Linked DNA regions of Stegostoma tigrinum. The protein of the gene in region 1 binds, or shares a complex with, the protein of each later gene. Links are inferred from orthologs where the notes say so. Each region holds a gene or a part of one and is shown on either strand. Other genes may lie near its edges. The genes, in order: kcnd3, Kv channel-interacting protein 1 and Kv channel-interacting protein 2.

Region 1 (7,621 bases):
ATAGTGGAGTATGTTCAAGGGGCCGAATGGCCTACAGATGCTCCTGTTTTTCATGTTCCTCTACTTCTAAAAGGGTTATATTATGAGGACAATTTGCATTGACTGAGTCACATTTCCTTGGGTATAAAATATTAAGAGGCAATCTAAATGAGGTGTTTAGGATGAGTAAATGTTTTGAAGTGTAGATGGAGAGAAATTATTTCTCTGCCAGGGCAGAACAAGGAGGCCTAATCATAAAAATTAAAGTCAGGCCTTTCATCAGTAGCTTCCAGAAATGCTGTTCTCCCCACAAGAGTGAGTCAAAATCAACAACTCTTCTCTTTAAATACTATGACATGGGGGATCAATTTAAAATGTTAGAACAGAGTTTGGGAGATTTCTTGGACAATGACTTTAAGGATGACAGAACCAAGGCAGCTTAAGAACATTAACATGCATCTAAGCCACGATCTAACTAAATGGGCCAAATAGTGTTCTTCTGTTCCTATGTGCCACATGCAGGAGAATATTTCAGTGGAACATTGAGCAATTAACAATGACACTTGCTCACTCAATCCCAGGGGGCTTCAATGATCTATCACCTGTTTGGAGACCACCTTCTGATGGTAACAATGAATCATATTATTCCAGGTTGTAGCAGTGAGATGGTGAAACTATCCCACCAGGACTCCCCAAATCAATCCTATGTCATACCCTTTCCCTGATACCTCAACTGCTCCAAGTGAAACAAAAATAGAAATTGTTGGTGAAACTCAGCAGGTCTGACAGCATTTGTGGGAAGAAAGCAGAGTCAACATTTTGAGTCTACTGACCCTTCATCAATGAATCCTAGTCAACCCTGTCACTGTTACCGTAATATATGAAACATTTAGAGCAATGGTGGGAATTTTGTAATTCCCTATGAGTAATACATAGCTACAGCAGCATTATCTCAGCCTTCTGAATAGAGATGAGCTGGGCCTTGGGTACTTTGGTTAGCTCAATTGTCTAATTGGCAGGTTTACAATACAGTGTGATACCAACATTGTACTGGCTGAGGTTCCCATAAAGGAGCTTCCCTCTCAACTTCTCTCTTTATCTGAGGTGTGTGACTCTTAGGTTAAGTGGTAACCAGCTGTTCTACTCCCTCATGAGGAACCAGAATCTGATGATTTTATCCTTTACTGGAGTTGACCATCAACGTTTGTTAAGTTTCAATTGCCTTTTATCCTGTCACTCCTGCAAGCTATATAATATTTTCATTCCATCCCCATCATTATAAACCGCAGGCACCAACAGCCCCACCCTCACCAATTTTCTAAAGTATGTAAATTCCATGAACAGAACTCCAGTTTCTGAGACCCACTTGTTTGAGAGTATTATGAACAAGGGGAAGGCTCACTGTTGGACCCAGTTCCAATTCACAGTCGATAAGGGAAGCTTGCCTTAATCCCTGCACTCTGTTTAATGGCCACCTATCAATTCATTCCACTAGCTGATTGCTGAATCAATGTTCCCTGATTTTCATCATGGGTCTGTTACACAGCACTTTATCAAAGATGTATTCAAAGTCCATTATTATAAAGGAAGCAAGAGTTTCTTGAACTTTCTTTAAGAGTTGCTGGGGGCTGATTTTCAGCAGCACATTTCAGGAATTGCCAGTCTTCAGAGTTGGAGCCTTTGGCTGAATCACTGGCTTCGCCCCATTTAACATAAAACAATGCCTTGCTGAAGGAGTCAAAGCCTGCAGTAAGACTGATCATTTGTAGGCATTTTCTAACCAATTTGTTCAGTCATGTTACAACACCTCTGGGGAAGGCTGACACTAAAACATAGAACTCCTGGCCAGGAGATAGGAGCATTACCATTACTCCACAGAGTCCCTCTTTATCTATTCACTAGAGCTACCTGTTTTACATAGATACTGTCCATACTCTAAGAATCTGATGACAGTGACCATTAGTTTTGCAAAAAACAAAGTGTGAAGCAACTTTCAGTATGGTCTGTATGGAGGGAGTCATCGCCTGGGGTTACCTGTTACACAGTTAACACAGCACCTTGGCCATCTCATGGCCAGTCTGGAAATCAATGCTTGACCCCACCACTGCCTGATCCCAGCCCAGACACCGTTCCCCTATCACCAAATCACTGATCGCTGGGGCTGCGTAGTTAAAGTGAAGAGAATCTTGAACATAAAATGTTTAATTCAAAATGCAATTGGTATTCATGCATTTGAACAGGTTGAATAATGAGTTATTACATTGAAACTTAAACTTCTAATAAGACCGTATGCAAATTGCACTAGATTCTAAAATACTTAAAAGAGAAGCATTTTACATTAATGTTGCATCACTACATGGGCTCTGAAAGTTACCAAGTTCATTTACATCCCCAAATCATTCTTTCCCAGATAGAGTCATCCCATGCGGAAATGGAGCTGTCAGTCCAAACAGTCCATGCCAACGATAATCCCAAATTTGAGGTTAATTTTCCAGATTAGTGGGCCAGCACATTTCCATACTCTCACTGATTTGTCATGCAAATGGTAATAGTTCATCAGAACCAAAGGGTATTTGCAAACAGTCTCTCCCTTCAATGTTCAGGTTTCAACACATACAATTATCAGCCAATATAAATAATCGGTTGTGAACAATTCTTTGGCCATCTTTAAAATTTGCTCTCCCAGAAATAGGAGTTCATTCAGCCCTTCGAGTCTGCTCTGCTGTTCAATATGAACATGGCTGATCATCTAACTCAGCCCCCTGTTTGCGCTTTCATCCCATAATCTTTGATCCCTTTAGCCCTAAGCACAATATCTAAATCCTTGAAAACATTCAATGTTTTGGCCTCAACCACTTTCTGTGGCAAAGAATTCCACAGGCTCCGCACTCTCCGAGTGAAGAAATTCCTCCTCATCTCAATCTTACCTGGCCCACCCCATATACTTAGGCTGTGACCCCTCGTTCTGGATATCCTGGTCATCAATAACATCCCTCCAGCACTAAACCTGTCTCGTGTCAGAAGCAACTTTCCATGAGATCCTTCCTCAGAGTTCTAAATCCAGTGGATGAAGCTCTAAGCGATCCAGTCTCCCTGTACGTTTCAATCTTTTAACAAATCAGTATCTCCTTTCCATTCACTTCCAATCGATTGCCTGCTTGTTCATGAGTTTGGAAACCACAGGGAAGTTTGAAAAATGAGAAGGTGAGGTAGAACATCACAGAGAAAGCGGGCTGACTAAGTTCGGGATTGTCATTTAGCATTGGGGAGAGCTCGGCTGCAGTTTTTGAATGGAGGCTGCGCCATCTAGCTATGTGAAAGGAACCACTCACAACCCATTCGTCACAATAAAAAAAAGTTAGTTAACTCAACTCAGCAACACATTATAGTCCCTGTAGCACCTGCCAAACAAAATCAAAATAGCCCGCTTTTGGAACGACTCCAGCCCGGCCGCTAATGTTCAGCATTTGATATTGACAAGACACGGAAAGAGAAAGGGAAACACTGAGATCTCTAAACAGCTGATTGTGGGGAGTTTTTTCTGCGCTGCAACCCGTCCCCTGCTCCCAACACTTTGCCAATTTATTTCAGATTTTCAAAATTCCTCTTAGGCTTAATCCCCAGGTTTAATCGTCCGTTATGTGTCGTTTTGCTTTGCCCTAGGAAAGTTTTTTTTTCTTACGCTACTTAGGACAACATTAAACACACACACCACAGCTGTAGGAAAACTGAACTGATGATTCTGGAAGCAGTGTGTCAAGAGAGAACTCAGTGGTGAAGTTTCCTGTGCCCTCTATGATACCTGCTTGAGTTTTTTTATTGCAATCCCCCCCCCCCCCCCGACACAGGCCAGAAACATTGCACCTCACAAATTAATACGTGCCCACCCCACTTCACACGCACGCATAGTGGTTGGAGGCCTGGATGGTCTCTGAGGGACAGTGTTCGCAGTCAATAGCACAATGGGGAGAGGTCCTGCACTGGGTCGGACTGGAGGTAACGACAGCGAGCCGCTGTGTATTTAACCCAGCATCTCCCAGCGCGGACAGCAACGCTTTCTTTCTACAAGTGTGAGACACGTGCCAATAAATAGTTTGCCCGCATGGAGTGCCTTCAGAAACTGGTGGCGGTCTTTCGCCTCTGAATCGTTCTGGGGGCCAATTTAGTGCGCCCCCCCCCCACCACCCCAGACCCATGCAAACCTCCCATGAGCAGCACCCAGAAATGGCCAGCCAGCTGCGTCATGGCTAACTGGGAGTCCCCGGACCCAGTGAAGGTCAGTTTAAACCTCTGTCTCTGCTCCCCCACCTCCACCCCCTCCCAACTTTCCATATTCCCCGGGGCGCCGTGCTGTTGCATCTTCCCACTGAACCTTGCTTTATTTGAGAGTTAGCCCATGAGCAAGCCTAGCGTCTCTAGGTTCCTCTGGAGACAATACGACGTGCAGGGGGTGGGGGTGTTGGCGCGGGGGTGGGGGGGGGGTGTGCACGGGATTGATTCTACGCCCAGCAATCAGGTAACATGTTGTGCTTTGTAAAGTCTGGATCTCTCCCCCGCCCTCTCTCTCTGTCTCTGTCATAGTACCTCTTCAGGTTCAGAAACACCGCCAGTGCCCACAGACTGTGTGTGTGTGTGTGTGTGTGTGTGTGTGTGTGAGAGAGAGAGAGAGAGAGAGCGAGAGCACTGTTCATCATCATCTGAGCTGAGACATGCCATCACCAACCCGACCCGCCTATTGTACCCACTTCCATTTATAGTAGGCAGACACAGAGACGGAGAGAGACAGAGGGAAAGGCAATAAGTCAAACATATGCAAACACTAACAACAAAAGGTGAAAGCTGGTTCCCGAAGCCCTCCGAGAGAGAAGCCGGGGGGTGCATTGAGCTAAGAGCAGCCACACAGAGAGAGCCCTCAGACTTCCCAATCTCTACTCGCCTCCTTCGTTACTGCGGGATTTACCTGCCGCTTTCAGCAGGAGGCCGTTCCATTTTTGTTGTTGTTGGTGTTGTTGTTTTCGGATTCTTTCTCTCCTTTGGAATAAGAATTGTCCTGGTCAGCAGGAGCGGGGAGCCTCGCTGCTGCTGTTGCTGAGGTAAGCTGCTGGGTATCCGGACCGGGAGGGAGGGAGGGAAGTTGGGTGGTCGGGGTGGGGGGTGTGGGTATGGGGGGTGTCGGCTAGAATAAGATGCTCCTCTCCAAACTTTCTCACTTCCCTGTCACAGGGACCCTGCTGTAAGTTTAAACTTGCCTTGCGGATTTAATTCAAATGCCTAAGTAGAGCAGTTGCTACACAGCCATGTTGCCCCCTTCCCTAAGTCTGACGGGCTTTTTCTCATATTGTTGAAAGTGATTTTTTTTATTGAGAGAATGTATTTGTCTGGTTGAAAATACTCCCAGAGTCGGATATTCTCTATCACTTTCCCATTCAGTTTATTCTCTCATCAACGGGATGTCCGTCCTTCAAATACAGCAGAGCTGAGAGTGGGACAGAAAAACAGACGCCAGCCCTTCAGAGAATAGAATATCTCCCTCTCTCTCCCTTCATCTCTCTCACACTCCTACCCCCTCCCTTTCCCACTCCTCTCTCCCTCTCCCACCCACTCCCTCTCCCTCCCTCTCTTCCCTCTCTTCCCTCTCCTACTCCCTCCTTCTCCCTCCCTCTCCAACTCCACTCCCACTCCCTCCTTCTCCTACTCCCTATTCCACTCCTCCCTCTCCCACTCCCTTTCTTTCGTCCCTCTCCCTCTCCCAGTCCCTCCCTTTCCCTCCCTCTCCCTCAATACATTCCCCAGCAATAGGGATGAGAGTCACCTGCACCATTTACTGGGAACCTGTTTGCCAGCTGAGTGGGGGTCTGTAATGATTGTGGGCTGGTTTATGAATTTTTTTTATTCCAGTTTATCTACTGTTTCTACCAGGCAGGAGGACTCCTGAAACAAGTGAGAGTTGGACACAGTGACAATGCCTGAGTGAGATGTACTGGTGAACACTAGTCCCCTCTCCTGGAAACCACTCTCTGCTTTTCCCTTGCAGATGTCGCCGAGCACCCAGAGAAGGTGCTGCCCTCTGTAGCCACCCCAGTCCGGACTAGCCATGGCAGCCGGGGTCGCGGCCTGGCTGCCCTTTGCCCGGGCTGCTGCCATAGGATGGATGCCAGTGGCCAACTGCCCCATGCCCCTTGCCCCAGGAGACAAGAATAAGAAACAGGATGAACTCATCATCCTCAATGTGAGTGGCAGGCGCTTCCAAACATGGAAAAACACCCTGGAGAGATTCCCAGACACCTTACTGGGCAGCACAGAAAAGGAGTTCTTCTTCCATGAAGAAACTAAGGAATATTTCTTTGACCGGGACCCTGACATCTTCAGGAACGTGTTGAATTTTTACAGGACGGGCAAGTTGCACTACCCAAGGCATGAGTGCATCTCAGCCTATGATGAAGAGCTGGCCTTCTTTGGCATCATCCCGGAGATTATTGGAGACTGCTGTTATGAAGAGTACAAGGACCGGAAGAGGGAGAATGCTGAGAGATTGATGGATGATAGTGACTCAGAGAACAAAGCGGAGGGTAACCTTCCGTCCCGAACCTGCCGCCAGACCATGTGGAGAGCCTTTGAAAACCCTCACACCAGCACCTTAGCGTTAGTCTTCTATTATGTGACTGGCTTCTTCATTGCCGTGTCAGTGATCACCAATGTGGTGGAGACTGTGCCCTGCGGCATTGGCCCTGGCGATGACAAAGACCTGCCCTGCGGGGAGAGGTACGTGGTGGCTTTTTTCTGCCTGGACACGGCCTGCGTGATGATCTTCACGGTCGAATACCTCCTCCGGCTCTTCGCTGCCCCCAGCCGCTACCGGTTCATGAGGAGCGTGATGAGCATCATTGACGTGGTGGCCATCATGCCTTATTACATTGGCCTGGTGATGACCAACAACGAAGATGTGAGTGGAGCCTTTGTCACTCTGCGGGTGTTTCGCGTGTTCCGGATTTTCAAGTTTTCTCGCCATTCCCAAGGTCTGAGGATCCTCGGCTACACTTTGAAGAGCTGTGCCTCTGAACTCGGGTTCCTCCTCTTCTCGCTCACCATGGCCATCATCATTTTTGCTACTGTGATGTTCTATGCTGAAAAAGGGTCAACACACAGCAAGTTTACAAGTATTCCCGCCTCTTTCTGGTACACCATTGTCACCATGACAACACTGGGGTAAGTCTCAAGGTTTTTACTTTCTACACTCAACCCCACCCCCATCCCGTTATTCTGATAAAGAGGTCCCAAACTCTCCCTTTCTGTGTGCGAGGACTGGTTCGCTTGAAGACTTCAATAAAGCCATTAGCCAGAAAAGTGGATTTTTAACAAATACCGCGCCACCACCGCCCCCGCCCCCCAGACCGGCATTTGCTTTACAAAGTAATCTCAAATTAATATATGATAACATCGCCTTTATTATTTAATAGCAAAGGGCAAAGCGTTGAAAGTAGAAAAGGGATTAATTAAATATCGTTTCAGCTCCAGATTAGGCATTGAACTTTCATGATTTGACGAGCAGCCTGGACGTCTATAATTACATTCACGGAATTAACTCTGTTTAATCCCCTTTTCTAAGGAGTACCAGACATTGCCAACAGTTGCTACATTTCAC
Region 2 (7,572 bases), on another chromosome or scaffold:
AAGACTAGAGGTTAGCTTACATTGTGGCATTATATAAGAAAAGGTGGAAAGGAAAACCAGGGAATTACAGACCACTGAACCTGGCATCAGTGGTTCACACATCACTGAAGGGTATTCTGAGGGGCAGCATTTACATGTATTTGGAAAGGCAAGGACTGATTAGGGATAGTTAACATGGCTTTGTGTGTAGGAAATTGTGTTTCACTAACTTCATTGAGTTTTTTGAAGTGACAAAGGAGACAGACGAAGGCAGAGTAGTGGACGATGACTGCATGGACATCATTAAGGCATTCAACAAGGTTCCACACGGTAGGCAGTTTAGCCAGGTTAGATCACAGAGAATACAGGATGAGCCAGCCATTTTGGATACAAAATTGGCTTGAAGGTAGGAGACAGAGGGTGATGGTAGAGGGTAGCTTTTCAGGTTGGAAGCCTGTGGCCAGCTGTGCACAGCAAGGATTGATGCTGAGTGCATAGCTTTTTGTCATTTATATAAATGATTTGGATGTGAACATTGGAGGTGCAGTTAATAAATTTGCAGATGATACGAAAATTGGTGGTGCAGCAGATAGTGGTTACCTTAGAGTACAACAGGACCTTGATCAGTTGAGCAAATAGGCCGAGGAGCGGCAGATGGAGTTTAATTTAGATAAATGTGAAGTGCTGCATTTTGGCAAGCCAGGACTTGCACACTTAATGGTAAAGTCCTGGAGAGTTTTGCCGAACATACAGGTTGCAGGTTGATAGTTCATTGAAACTGGGGTCGCAGGTTGACAGTGTGGTGACGATGATGTTTGGTATGATTGTCTTTACTGGTTAGTGTGTTGAGTATAGGAGTTGGGAGGTCATGTTGCAGCTGTCTAGGACATTGGTTGGGCCACTGTCGGAATACTGCATTCAGTTCTAGGCTCCCTGCTATAGCAAAGATATTGTGAAACTTGAAATGGTTCAGAAAATATTTACAAGGACATTGCCAAGGTTGGAGGGTTTGAGCTATAGGGAGAGGTTGAATAGGCTGGGGCTATTTTCCCCAGAGCATCAGAAGCTGGGGGATGGCCTTATAGAAATTTCCAAAATCACAAGGGGCATGGATAGGGTGAACTGCCAAGGCCTTTTCCCCAGGGTAAGGAAGTCCAAAACTAGAGAGCAAAGGATCAAGGTGAGAGGGGAAGGATTAAAAAGGGAGTAAAGGGGTAACTTTTCACACAGCGGGTGGAGCATGAATGGATTGAGCCATCAAAGAAGGTGGTGGAGGCAGGCATAATTACAACATTTTAAAGGCATCTGGATGGGTATATGAATAGGAAGGGTTTAGAGGGATATGGGCCAAATACTGGCAAATAGGACTGGATTAATTTGGGATATCTGGTCAGCATGAATGAGTTAAAGCAAAAGGTCTGTTTCTGTACTGTACATCTCTATGATCCTACTATATTTCACTATATTCCTTTGTGTGTTCCATTATGTTAATGAGTATTTTCTATATATTACTAGGTTTGTAACACTATATTATGGAGTAAGTAAATGTTGCTGGTTTTGTTGCACTACGTTATGAAATGATTACACTAAATTAATGGGAAGCTATACTACTGGGTAAGTAACACTGTTTTTCAATTTTATTACATTATATTATTGATAAGTGACACTATATATAACTGTCCATTTCTGAATAAGTCACTGGCAGACCTGTTGAGATTTTCCAGCAATTTCTGTTATCCTACTATATTACTGTATTCCTTACTCTATCTTGCTGAGACTGTGTTCACAATGTTAGCAGAAAGTTTCATTCTATTAATCGTTACGTTTCAGTACATCACTTTGTAAGTTTTAGTTTATTATCGGATACATTTCCGGTTCGGTTTCAGTAATATTGCTATGTACCTCCTGCAATTATTTCAGATACGCCCCATCCTGCAACACCAGCTTGAGTACGAAGAGCACAAGGGCCAGCTCACACTCCCTACCATTCCTGCAGCTGCGACAAGATTTCAAATGAACTTGAAATCAAGCAAAAGGTATTATCGCTGTAGAAACACACGTCTATTCCGGGCGATTGCCTGCTTTAAACCAGGCTTCAGTGTACAAGCCTTCGCTCAGAGAGAATGAAGACGTGAAGCAAATCACAGGCTGTGGCTGCTTCCAGCACCTTACCTCTTGAATGTCTCCTCTGTTTTGTTGGCAGGGATAACGTACCCATCACTGCTCCCATTCTGAATGTCTTTCTCGTTCTCTTGTACTCAGTTCCTTTTTGCATTCAGCTGTGAAGGCGTGCTGGACCCACAGTGTGTTCGGAAAAATCAGGCGCCTGGAGCTACTTCCACATTTGCACACACACACACGTGTTGGTGAGATTGATTGCGAATGCTTTGCACTGTTATTCCTCCAACGTGAGTTCAAGGCTACTTCAATTCCCTCAGCTGAACACTGTGGGCTGTCACAGAGCTACATTGACTGACGCAGCCGCCAGATCGAAGCGGAAACAAACGTTGTCTGTAGCTGTCCGCACTCTCGTGTTTCACCAGCTCTCAGTAGTCACCACCAAAGGCTGTGTTCTCTACCAACGCATACCAAACAGACCTTTCACAGGCAGTGATAGACCCACGGGACTGGGGAGTGGACCAGATTACTAATGTCAACATCTCATTCGGAACTCAATGTAACACTGGTGAAAAATTACACAGCGGACACGATACTGTTATTTTCCCCAATTTCACATCTAGTGTTTGAATCCTAGAAACCCTACAGGTGGAAGCAGGCCATTCGGCTCATTAAGACCACACTAACCTAAACAGATAAATAGAAAGCGGAACAAAACACCAGCGCTTCGTCGGAGGCTCACTGATGATGTTACCTAGAATGGTGACGAAACGTTTGAAAACCAACCTTCCAGCTCAGCGAGCAAACTCACATCGAGACCACACTAACCCTCCGAAGCGCACCCCATCCAGGTCCACCACCCTACCCTGTAACCCCACATTTCCCAGACTAATCCACACATCCTTGAATGATGGAAGAAAACCAGAGTATCTGGAGGAAACCGGCACAGATACTGGGAGAACGTGCAAACTCCATACAGCCAGTCACCTGAGGGTGGAATCGAACGTGAGCTCTGGCGCTACGAGGCAGCAGCGCGAACCACTGAACCACCTTGCCGCCCATTTCCAGAGACACCTCTCCCTACGTATTCAAAATTGGCAGATGTGTAACTAACAATAATCTTGCAGACTCGTGTATCACAGGGAAGTGTAAAGAGGCAGATGCATCATGGCTGGTTGTGTACTGGTGGTGAATAAGTAGATCTGTAGAATTGAGGGTGTTACAGGTGTGTGTAATCTATTAATGCATAACAAATGGGCGTGTACCATACGAGTGTGCAGTGCACAGTGTACAACGTATGAGTGTGCAATAGGCATGAGTGCTTCACAGGTAGGTGTTTCAAGAGTGAATGTATTACAGGCCATGTATAATGCACAGATGTTTAACCGATGGCTGCGTAATTAGCGAAAGTGCGATGAATGGGTATAATGGATAGGTTGTGGAATCTGAGAATCAAAGAATCCCTACAGTGTAGACAGAAGCCATTCAGCCCATCAAATCTGCAGTGACCTCCTGAACAGCATCCCACTCAGACACTCCCCCCACTCTATTTCCATAATCTTGCTTTTGCTATGGTCAATCTACCTAGCCTACACATTCCTGGACACTATGAACCAATTTAGCATTGTCAATCCACCTAACCCCCATATCTTTAGATGGTGGGAGCAAACCAGAGCACCCAGAGGAAACTCACGCAGACATGGGGAGAACATGTACACTTCACATAGACAGTTGCCCAAGGCTGGAATCGCTCCTGGGTCCCTGGCAATGTGAAGCATCAGGGCTAACCAGTGTAGGTGTGAGATTTGTATTGTAGGTTGGGTTGTAAAATGTGAGAGTGGTAAACTGGGTGAGTGGTTACAAGGTATAAAGGGGGTTGATTTAGTTCAGTTCACTGGATATTTCGTTGGAAAGCAATGGAAAGCTCTTCTCAACTTCTCTCATCATCTGAGGTATGGTAGCCCTCAGTTAAATCACCATTAATCAACTCTCTCAAATGAGAAAGAAGCCATATAGTCTGGTCAGACTACGGCAACACAAAATTTTGTGTACTAGGTGGTTTATTTTTTGGGTGGTGGTATGTTGTGTGGGTGATACAATGGCTAAGTCATACTAGGTGAGTGATATAATGGCTTGGTTGTATATCTTACAGACAATATCCCAGGCACCATCATCACTACCCTCCCTCACCATTAGGACAGATCCAGCAGAGGTGGCAGCACTGTGATATACAGTTGGAGGAAGATGCTCTGGGAATCCACAGTATTGACTCAGGACCCCGTGAAGTCTCATGGCATAAGGTTAAATATTAGCAAGGAAACCTCCAGCTGATTACCACACTCCATCCTCTATCAGCTGATGAGTTAGTACTCCTTCATGTTGAACAACACTTGGAGGAAACCCTGCGGGTGGGAAGGGTTCAGAATGTACTTTGGATGGGAGATTACAATGTCCATCACCAAAAGCTACTGATTGAGCTGGTGGATGGGTTACGTAGTGGGTGGCTTATGTAGAGGGTGGGTTATGTAATGAGTGCATTGTATCATAGATGGGTGGTATAATAGATGTGTTATATAAAACATGGGTTGTACAATTTGTTGGTTGTATACTAAGTGGTTGGAATAATAGATGGGTGGCATAGTAGGTGTGTTGCATAATGGGTGGATTGTATGATGTGTAGCTTGTATAATAGGTGGGTTGTACAGCGAGTGGGCTGTATAATAGATGTGTAGTATTGTAGGTGTATTCATTAATGGTTAGATTGTATAATACGTGTGTTATATAATGGGTGGGTTGTATAATGGGTGGGTTGCATTATAGGTGAGTTGTATAAGTGTGGGTTGTATAGTAGGATGTGATGCAAAGTGGGATATGTTATGTAGTGGATCATTTATATAATGGGTAGCAATGCTTGCAGAAGGTGGTGGCACAGTAGTGATGTCACTGGACTGGTAATCAAGTGCTCCAGGCTAATATGTCAGGGATATGGGCTGAATTCTATCATAGCAGATAGCCTCATGGTGACCCTGTAACCACTGCCAATAGTTATAAAAACACAATCTTAGGTATTAGTGAAAGAAATCTGCCATCCCTACCCAACCTGGCCTACACGTGACTCCACACCCACAGTGATGTGTTTTAGTCTCAAATGTCCTCCAAATTGGCCTGGCAAGCCATTCAGTTGTATCAAACAGCTACAGTCCGACAAAATGATCAAAAGTGGAAGCATTTTACAGCATCAAATTAGGCTTCACTGTTACTGGGTCAAAATCCTGGAGCTCCCTTCATAACAGTGTAGTGAATTTATCACAAAAGCTACAGTGGTTCAAGAAGGCAGCTCACCACCCCATATCGAGAGGGTTGGACAATAATTGCATGTCTGGATAGTGCCTGCCATATCCCCTATCAACATCAAAAAAAGTACTCTTTTTTCCCCTCAGTGTTCAGGAAGTGTGGAGAAAGGGCATTGACCACAGGAAGAATCAAATCCTCTACTGGCAGGTTTTCCAATCACTAGACAGCTCAAATGTCCACCCGCTAAAACTGTGCATTTTGCGATTGCTATTTAATACACATTTGAACTGCAACACTGACCCTCTTTGACCTGAATGGGGCACTAATATTGAGAACAGCCTTTTTTGGTTTCCCAATGCCACACAACAAGATTAAGTAAGAGGCTGACAATCACTTTGTCCAAAGCCACTCGCAGTCACATCTGCAGAGTTTGGGTGGATGGTAGTGGAGGAAACTCCATTGTAGTGTCTTCACAAACAGTCAATGACAGCTCTGACTTCAATGGATGCTGTCAGTTCTATACTTACTGAACACTACTACACAGAATGAAATCGTCATCAATAACTCAGGTTCATTGTACTGGAAAACCACTGCTGCTTTAAAGTCGAGTTGTCATGGGAACAGGATGTTCCACATCCTTGTTTAGCACTTTCTTTGATGAATCTTTATGGCCAGAGAATGGGAGCAGTACAGTTACATAGAACATAGAACATAGAACAGTACAGCACAGAACAGGCCCTTCAGCCCACAATGTTGTGCCGACCATTGATCCTCATGGATGCACCCTCAAATTTCTGTGACCATATACATGTCCAGCAGTCTCTTAAATGACCCCAATGACCTTGCTTCCACAACTGCTGCTGGCAACGCATTCCATGCTCTCACAACTCTCTGCGTAAAGAACCTGCCTCTGACATCCCCTCTATACTTTCCACCAACCAGCTTAAAACTATGACCCCTCGTGCTAGCCATTTCTGCCCTGGGAAATAGTCTCTGGCTATCGACTCTATCTATGCCTCTCATTATCTTGTATACCTCAATTAGGTCCCCTCTCCTCCTCCTTTTCTCCAATGAAAAGAGACCGAGCTCAGTCAACCTCTCTTCATAAGATAAGCCCTCCAGTCCAGGCAGCATCCTGGTAAACCTCCTCTGAACCCTCTCCAAAGCATCCACATCTTTCCTATAATAGGGCGCCCAGAACTGGACGCAGTATTCCAAGTGCGGTCTAACCAAAGTTTTATAGAGCTGCAACAAGATCTCACGACTCTTAAACTCAATCCCCCTGTTAATGAAAGCCAAAACACCATATGCTTTCTTAACAACCCTGTCCACTTGGGTGGCCATTTTAAGGGATCTATGTATCTGCACACCAAGATCCCTCTGTTCCTCCACGCTGCCAAGAATCCTATCCTTAATCCTGTACTCAGCTTTCAAATTCGACCTTCCAAAATGCATCACCTCGCATTTATCCAGGTTGAACTCCATCTGCCACCTCTCAGCCCATCTCTGCATCCTGTCAATGTCCCGCTGCAGCCTACAACAGCCCTCTACACTGTCAACGACACCTCCGACCTTTGTGTCGTCTGCAAACTTGCTGACCCATCCTTCAATTCCCTCGTCCAAGTCATTAATAAAAATTACAAACAGTAGAGGCCCAAGGACAGAGCCCTGTGGAACCCCACTCACCACTGACTTCCAGGCAGAATATTTTCCTTCTACTACCACACGCTGTCTTCTGTTGGCCAGCCAATTCTGTATCCAAGCAGCTAAGTTCCCCTGTATCCCATTCCTCCTGACCTTCTGAATGAGCCTTCCATGGGGAACCTTATCAAATGCCTTACTGAAGTCCATATACACCACATCCACAGCTCGACCCTCATCAACCTTACTAGTCACATCCTCAAAAAACTCGATAAGGTTTGTAAGGCATGACCTACCCCTCACAAAGCCGTGTTGACTGTATTTGATCAAGCCATGCTCTTCCAGATGGTCATAAATCTTATCCCTCAGAATCCATTCTAACACCTTGCAGACGACAGACGTGAGACTTACCGGTCTATAATTGCCGGGGATTTCCCTATTTCCTTTCTTGAAGAGAGGAATTACATTTGCCTCTCTCCAGTCCTCAGGTACGACTCCAGTGGAGAGCGAGGATGCAAAGATCTTCGCAAGTGGCGAAGC
Region 3 (7,521 bases), on another chromosome or scaffold:
CCACTGATGACTTGAATGAATATATCCCTTGTTAAAGTTCTAACCCATTTAAAAACTGCTCCCCCCCAGATACACACACACACACACACACACACACACACACACACACACACACACACACAAAACATGCGTGTTACGTGTGAAGGGAAAGCTGGATGATTAGGCAGGTGGTCCCCATCCACAGGGTTTGCTTCTCAATTTTCTTCTTCCTCCTGTTTGCAAGTGACTCGTTCACACTAATTAAAAGTCAAAGTTTACTATCATTGATGAGAAATAAACTTGCTTTCTTCAGGGGTGACCTGGCAACTTCTCACCTGAGTAAATGCACCCAAACTATTGAATCATCTCTGTGCCATCTCCAATGCAAGTGCATTCATCCTTAAATATGTAATAAATCACACGGTACTCCGGCTGTGAGCTCAGCAAGACCCTGTACAATTATAACAAAACTTCTTTCACGTACTTCAAGCCACTTGCAAAAAAGGCCAATATGCCATCTACCTTCCCAATTGCTTGTTCCTTTATTCTTTCATGAGATGAGGACATCACTGATTGGGCAGTATTCATTGCCCATCTCAGTTACCCAGAGGGCAGTTGAGAGTCAACCACACTACTGTGGGTCTGGAGTCACATGTAGGTCAGGCCAGGTAAGGATGGCATTTTCCTTTCCTAAAGAGCATTTGTGAACCAGACGGGGTTTTCCTGACAATCGACAATGGATTCATGGTCATCGTTGGACTGTTAATTCCAGTTTTTTAAATTGAATTCAAATGCCACCAACTGCCCTGGTGGGAGTAAAAACCCAGGTCCCCAGAATGTTATCTGCGTCTCTCGATTAACAGTCCAGCGATAATACCACTAGGCCATTGTCTCCCCATGTTGTGCCTGTGTGCTGTCTGTCTGTATACCTTGTACAACAATCATCATCATTATTGGTGATTCTTCACAGATGAGGATAAGTCTGTAGGTAACTGTACAGACCAACGCAGCTACTGCAGGCTCTGTTACACTTGGGGCAGGTGGTGCTCACAGGGAGTGGGTGGGGTATTGTGGCGGTGCACTCCTTTCGCTCAGTTTCCATTTCTTCCTGACGGCAAGTCTCGAGGTGCTCAATGTTTTCCCGGATGCCCCTCCTCCACTCTGGATGGTCTTGGGCCAGTGATTCCCAAGGGTTTGTGAGAATGCTGCACTTTGCCAGTGCACTAGAATACCCAAGTCTCTCTGAGTGTCGATGTGTGAACTTTCACACCTTTTCAAAGTGAATAACCTCACATTTCTCCAAATTATACTCCATCTATTACCTCATTGCACACGTGCTTAATCTGTCAACACGTCTTTGCAGTGTCTTTGTGTTCTCCCCACAATGTATACTGCCCCTAGTTTGAATCATCAGCCAGTTTGGGCACATTACCCTCTGCCCATTCAAACCATTAATAAAGATTGAAATTGACTGAGGCTCCATGACTGACCCTCGTGCTGGCACTCCACTATCAGCCAACATGAACAGGCTCCATGTATCCCTACTCTTTGTTGAGCAATCTGCTTTCCTTGTTAATATATCACACCCAACTCCTTGAGCTCATGCGTAGCGTATTAATTGTTTGAGTGGCACCTTATATCGTATGCCTTTGGAGACCACATTTACTGGTTCCCTCTATTAATCCAATTAAATATTTGCTCAAAAACATACAATTCATTAATTAAATTTGACCTTTCTTTCTTAAAACTTTGTACGAACATACTATGCTTTTCTAAGCCCATTGTCAGGACCTTCTTCACAATAGATTGGGGGTTGGTTAGAATCAATGGCAAGCGTGTATTTTAGAATATTGCTGATTCATTCCCAATTCTGTTGTAGTAAAACCTAAATCTGCCCTTTCTTTGAGACTGACCAGAAGCACCTCAGGCTGGCAATGAAGCATCAGAAGACGAACTGCCAACCTCATACGCCCGAGCTAGTGCACAAGCACATGAATGTAAAATTGATTCCAACACATTTTTTCCCCCAAGGACTAATGTCAGGATAATATAGCTGCAGTTCCCTATTTTCTCTCCAGCCCCCTTCCTTAGATAACAGTGTTATGTTTGCTAACTATCAATCCGCCAGTGAATCTACTTTCTCTGCAGCGACCTCTTTTAAAAATCTCAAATGTAGGCCATTAGGGCCTGGGGATTTGTCAGTTTTTAATCCCTCAAATTGGGCTGTAGTTCTTTTTCTGCTGTAACTAATTAACCTCAATTTCCTCACTTGTTTTTTTAGCCCCAGTCTGATCAGACAGGGACTGCATGATAGACTTTGTGTTTGTCTCCCATCAGAGTTAGCAATTAAGCTATCGTTTACAAATTTAGAGTCTTCAAGAACCTTAGACTAGGTTAACCAATAAAATTCAGACAAAAATAAATGAGGGGGCACTTTTGGTCTGCCACCCATTTCCTACCTTCACTGGAGAAATCAATCAGTCCCAGGAAATGCAACAGCTTCAGAGAACTTACAGCCAGAAAGACAATCCCTACAGTCTGCAATCCCTCCGACTCCCAGTCCGTATTTAAAACCATCTCGACTGCCTTCTGTCATCTGGTTTGGGATTTTTCGTGGGGCAGCAGGAGATGGACGCAGAGCCACAAGAGATGGAAAATTATACGAACATAAAGGCACAAGTCATTAACAGGGTAAGAGGCACAGACTGAGAGACAGAATGATTCATTCACACAGAATGAAAAGACAGATTGGGCTACAAGACACTGAGAGATAAACAGTGAGAATCACAGAGTGCGATGCAAAGAGAGTGAGAAAACAGAGGCAGAGAGAGAGATATGTAGATAGTAAGAGATGCAGAGTTGACACAGATGGAATGGGTGACTCAGCGACAGACACAAAGGCAGAGAGACAGAGACAGACAAACAGAGTGAGAGTCACAGAACGAAACAGGGAGGTGGGGGAAAAGACTCACAGCGGGAGACAGAGACAGGAACACGCACAGGAGAGTCACGGGGAAGCAGTGGATTTTGTGGGATTTACGGTGAGAAACATACACAGAGAGTTAGGATGACAGACACAGTGAGAGAACCTGATAAACTGAACTGTCAAAGATGAGAGGGCGGGTTCCATCGTTTACAAATCTTTCTGCGCCTGCACGTTGTGTTTTTAAACACTCAGTGGTTGAGTCAGATTTTCCCCTTTGGCAATGTCAGTTAAAACGAGCACTGTTGCCAGTCAAGTGATGCCCACTTGGATCTGGCATTTCGGGAGCCTCTCTGCTGAAAACTCTTTGCTCCTGAGAAAAGGTGAGTGCTTTTGTTGTAGGTCACTGTCTGGCTCACTGAAGGGCAAGGAGCAGCACTGAACCTTGGACCTGCAACTTCAGAGGAGGAGATCCCAGGTAAGGAAGAAAACAAAGGCATTGGAGCTGTGGAGCTGTGAAGAAAGGAGAGATGGGGGTACACTGTGGGTCTCCCAGTGTCAGAAGAAGAAAAGCAAGACACTTCTATCCACAGCAGATGAAGAAGGACTGCAAAACTCATGAGCAGGTAAAAATCTGTGTTCCTTAATACTATTTGTAGCCTCTTTGTACTGATATCTTGCATATTGAACATATGCCTTCTGCCTCACTGTATGTCCCTCCCACCCTTTCACTGTTGTGCCCTGTGCCATTCTGACTCCGATCCGTGACACTGCCTGTATTATGGACGTCTCTCTTCTCTGTGAAGGTGCAAAGTCTTTGCAAGGGCTTTCCCCAACTCTGCTGTGCATACCCTAACTCCAAGCCCCATTTGACCATCTTTCCTCAGCTCGCTGACTGACGCTGGTCCTTGGCCTTGGCCTAAAATTATCCCTCCATGGCCTCTTCCTATCCCCTTTCGTATAATCTCCTCCGGCGCTACAAATCTCTACAATCCCTGTACTCTTCCGATTCTTCATTTTTAGTGGCCTTGTCTTTAGCTGCCTGTGTGCTCTCCTATCTGGAAGTCACTGCCTAAAAATCTCCACACCTTTGTCTTCCTCTGATCTGGTCTTTTAAACCTTCCTCTCTGATTAAGTTATTTAAGGGGAGGTGATGGCCACAGCAGATGGTGGAATTTGAATTCAAGTATCTAATGATGACATTGTGCCAATTATTGGTTCACTAATGCCCTTAAGGGAGGGGAAACTGCCATCCTTACCTGGTCTGGCCTACGCATTGACTCCAAACCCACAGCAATATTGACTCTTAGCTGCCCTCTGGTAATTGGGGAAGGGGAATAAATGCTGGCTTGCCAGTGATGCCCTCATCCTGTGAATGAATAAAAAGAAATGGGTCACCTGTCCCCCTATCTCACCATCTGCTTTGCTATGGGTTCAATAGGCATAGAAGTTGGTGTTTATGATAAACTATGTGTGCTCAATCATGGCTTTGTGTAAGGTCGTAAAACTCTCCGAGGTGTGAAGATGCCCACTGCACCTGCCCTTAGCCAGGGACTGACACATCCTGCCAGGGCTCAGAGTTGGGAACTGCACTCACAGTGGACTCAAACATTTTTATACAGGCAAAACATCTTGGCTTCGTACTCTGTACCTGTCCCCACGCAGAGTAGCCTCGTGTGTATGTCACAGTCACTTTCACAAGCACACTCACACACACTCTCAACTACTTGTGCACACTCACACACACTGACATACTCACTCATTTTCATTCTCACCCGCTCTGTCATCTAATTGTGCGTGCACGCACACTTATTCTCTTACATTCTCACACACGTGCACTCTCTCTCGAGCGCACACACACACACACACACACACACTCTCTCATCCTTGCACTCTGACATTTTCACATTGTGTCGTACTCAATCATACTCATCTTCTCAAACTCCAGGTTTTCACACACACACCCTCGCAGTCATTCACATTCTCACATACTAATTCTCACTTTCTCACTCTCACAGTTACAGTCCCTAGCAGTGTGCTTCCCCCCTTGATATTGAAACATCCTGTTAGACCGCTCTCTGTCAGAGATATCGCACATACAGTCACATGCTCGCGGATATTACTATGATAAAGTGTTGATGCCAGCCTCAATCTTCCCAACGTGTTTTATTGACTCTAACAATTGACTCTAACAAGTTATCCATAAGTCTCTCGGTGTCATGGCAACAGGAAACGTTTGTGAAAGGAAGAGCTTTGTGATGCTTTATTTTAAGATCCAGCTTTTAACATGTAAACGGTTCATAGTTTGCTTAAAATGGGAGACAGTACAGGGCACAGGGAAATTATAATTCCTTTTATACTTGTTGTTTCCATCAAACACTCCCAGCAATAGGCTTAGCATGGGGTTAAAGATCCCTCTACAGTATCCTCATCAAACACTCCCAGGACAGGGACAGCATGAGGTTAAATACAGAGTAAAGCTTCCTCTACACTGTCCTCAACAAGCACCCCTGGGCCAGGGAGGAGTGTACAAGGATTAAAAATGGATATGTCTCTCTTCATAATTGCTGTTCGGTTCCATTCATGTCCTCAGCATCCTCAATGTTTGTCATAATGTAAACAAAGTTTGATTCTCGGAATTACTGGAAAATAAGGGGCTCAGGTTTGATTTGAGTAAAGCCTGATTTGGAAAGGAACCGATAGCCCGGCTGGAAGGAAACTTTAAGTGTTGGTTGGAGAGTCTCAAAGAAACGGATATTATCTTAAGATGAGAGTCAGGCCCTTGGAAGTGGTTCAGGGATCATGCCTTCACACAAATGCGGAACCCACACCCAGCCCCCAGAAAGTGGAAGATGTCAGCTCAGTTAATCAGTTAAGATGTGTGTTTAGAATGAAGGTGCCAATGTAGTTGAATAGCAGAACAGGCTTGGGGGGGGGAGCTGAATAGCCTCCCCTTTTTTATATATCCTTCCTGAGTTGTCAGTCAATGGCTGTCTGCTGTGAATGAGGAGCAGCTGTTTAACTTTCAGGAGAGCACACTGGCAATGCCATCTGGTGATATCAATATTGACATATCTGGGGAAATCTCATTTTTTACCTCCGCAGCCTTGGGATCGCAGAGGTGTCGTTGGATGGAGAATGCCAGCTGGTAATGTTGTTATTTTGGCTCCAAAGAAGACTTGGGTTCTGAGTCAACACAGCGTGGAGCTGGAGGAATGCAGCAGATCAGGGGAGCAGGAGAGTCGAGTTTACACCCTACAGCAATCATGATGAAGCCTCCACCATCTGCAGTTCTTGCTATCACCGAGAGGCTGGGATTCTGTTTGGTCTTGGAGTGCTCTGACTGTACTAGAAAATCACATCAGCCCAAATGTCCTGCCCTATGTTGGGCCCAGTAGCAGCATTCTAAGACAGAGTTGTGGGGAGAAGACCCACTCCAGTGGTTTGAGGGAGCTGGCTGCGTTATGTGAGAGACGCACCACTAGAGAGGCCATTTTCATCAGTATAACTGAAACAAGCTGCTCCTCTGTCCCTTTCAGGTGGATTCAAATGACCCACAGCACTACTATAAGGAAGAGCAGAGGATCGAGTCAGTATACGCTCCTCAACATGTCATCACTGTGGAAATGGATTACTTAGGATTGTGGGATCTTGCTGTGCATAATTTGGCTGCTGCATTTCCCCCATGACAACAGTGGCTACACTTCACAAATTACAGGCTGTAAAAAATTCAGTATCTTCCATGGGGATGAATGGCCCGAAACAGGGGGTGGATTGGAGTGGCATGGTGGCTCAGTGATTAGCATTGCTACTTCACAGCGCTAAGGACCTAGGTTCAACGCCACCCTCAGGCAACTGTCTGTGTACAGTTTGCACATTCTCCCTGGGTCTGTGTGGGTTTGTTCCAATTTCCTACCACAGTCCAAAGATATGCAGGTAAGGTGGGTGGGATGCTCTTCGGAGGGACAGTGTGGATTCAGTGGGACAGATGGCCTTCCCCGAACACTGAAGGGTTTCTGTGATCTGTTAAACTCTCACTGTCTCAGTTGTTTTTTAACTCTGAGGCAATGAAGTATGAGGATAACTTTCGCCTGCTCAGTGTGGGTCCCAACAGACCTGCTCAGCTCCTCATTACTAACCTGATCCAAGCAAGGACACGAAAGCTGTTAACACCAAAGGGGAGGTGAAGCTGACATCAAGGCAGTGTTTGAACAAGCGTAGCATCCAGGAGCCTGAACAAAATTAGCGTCAATGGAAATCAGAGGAAAAATGATTCAGTGCCTGGAAACATACCTATCAAAAATAAAAATCTTTGTTGGATGCCAATCAGCTCAGTGCTGTCCCTAAGATTACAATAACACTCAAGAGGTACAACATGAATCCAGAAAACGGGCTGAAGGGCCTGTTCTGTGCTGTACTGTTCTATGTTCTAAAACACTACACACTTGACTGGCACGTCATTCACCATCTACAACATTTACTCTCTTCACCACCAACACTAGGTGGCAGCAGTGTGTACCAGCTACAACATTCACTCTCTTCACCACCAACACTAGGTGGCAGCAGTGTGTACCAGCTACAACATTCACTCTCTTCACCACCAACACTAGGTGGCAGCA

Evidence for each region.
Region 2: the proteins of kcnd3 (region 1) and Kv channel-interacting protein 1 are in contact, whole or in part, in a crystal structure (PDB 2NZ0), measured with the Homo sapiens proteins. The link is inferred for Stegostoma tigrinum from reciprocal best matches to the Homo sapiens genes KCND3 and KCNIP1. Residues at the interface, in NP_001365898.1 of Homo sapiens: Ala6, Ala7, Trp8, Leu9, Pro10, Phe11, Ala12, Arg13, Ala14, Ala15, Ala16, Ile17, Gly18, Trp19, Pro21, Val22, Pro26, Met27, Pro28, Leu29, Ala30, Pro31, Lys34, Lys36, Arg37, Asp39, Trp54; in NP_001030009.1 of Homo sapiens: Leu67, Arg69, Gly70, Phe71, Glu74, Val80, Phe85, Ile88, Tyr89, Phe92, Phe93, Tyr101, Leu105, Phe109, Phe122, Ala125, Leu126, Leu129, Leu130, Leu138, Trp140, Thr141, Leu144, Tyr145, Ile161, Val162, Ile165, Tyr166, Met168, Met169.
Region 3: the proteins of kcnd3 (region 1) and Kv channel-interacting protein 2 are in contact, whole or in part, in a cryo-EM structure (PDB 7W6S), measured with the Homo sapiens proteins. The link is inferred for Stegostoma tigrinum from reciprocal best matches to the Homo sapiens genes KCND3 and KCNIP2. Residues at the interface, in NP_001365898.1 of Homo sapiens: Val5, Ala7, Trp8, Leu9, Phe11, Ala12, Arg13, Ala14, Ala15, Ala16, Ile17, Gly18, Trp19, Met20, Pro21, Val22, Ala23, Asn24, Cys25, Pro26, Met27, Pro28, Leu29, Ala30, Pro31, Asp33, Trp54, Arg60; in NP_775283.1 of Homo sapiens: Arg112, Gly113, Phe114, Asn116, Glu117, Cys118, Val123, Phe128, Ile131, Tyr132, Gln134, Phe135, Phe136, Tyr144, Leu148, Phe152, Phe165, Leu169, Ile172, Leu173, Arg180, Trp183, Ala184, Leu187, Tyr188, Met201, Met205, Ile208, Met211, His228.

Annotation. Positions count from the first base shown.
Region 1 is NC_081374.1:6,113,923-6,121,543, reverse strand, and holds the start of kcnd3 (potassium voltage-gated channel subfamily D member 3), read left to right. Parts: upstream 1-4,616; 5' UTR 4,617-5,072; intron 5,073-5,898; exon of another isoform or gene 5,899-6,013; 5' UTR 6,014-6,073; coding exon 6,074-7,185; intron 7,186-7,621. UniProt on the Homo sapiens protein: Pore-forming (alpha) subunit of voltage-gated A-type potassium channels that mediates transmembrane potassium transport in excitable membranes, in brain and heart. In cardiomyocytes, may generate the transient outward potassium current I(To).
Region 2 is NC_081366.1:63,376,993-63,384,564, forward strand, and holds the start of Kv channel-interacting protein 1, read right to left. Parts: upstream 3,103-7,572; 5' UTR 2,255-3,102; coding exon 2,152-2,254; intron 1-2,151. UniProt on the Homo sapiens protein: Regulatory subunit of Kv4/D (Shal)-type voltage-gated rapidly inactivating A-type potassium channels. Regulates channel density, inactivation kinetics and rate of recovery from inactivation in a calcium-dependent and isoform-specific manner.
Region 3 is NC_081373.1:13,470,141-13,477,661, forward strand, and holds the start of Kv channel-interacting protein 2, read right to left. Parts: upstream 3,052-7,521; 5' UTR 3,034-3,051; exon of another isoform or gene 2,576-3,033; 5' UTR 2,557-2,575; coding exon 2,439-2,556; intron 1-2,438. UniProt on the Homo sapiens protein: Regulatory subunit of Kv4/D (Shal)-type voltage-gated rapidly inactivating A-type potassium channels. Modulates channel density, inactivation kinetics and rate of recovery from inactivation in a calcium-dependent and isoform-specific manner.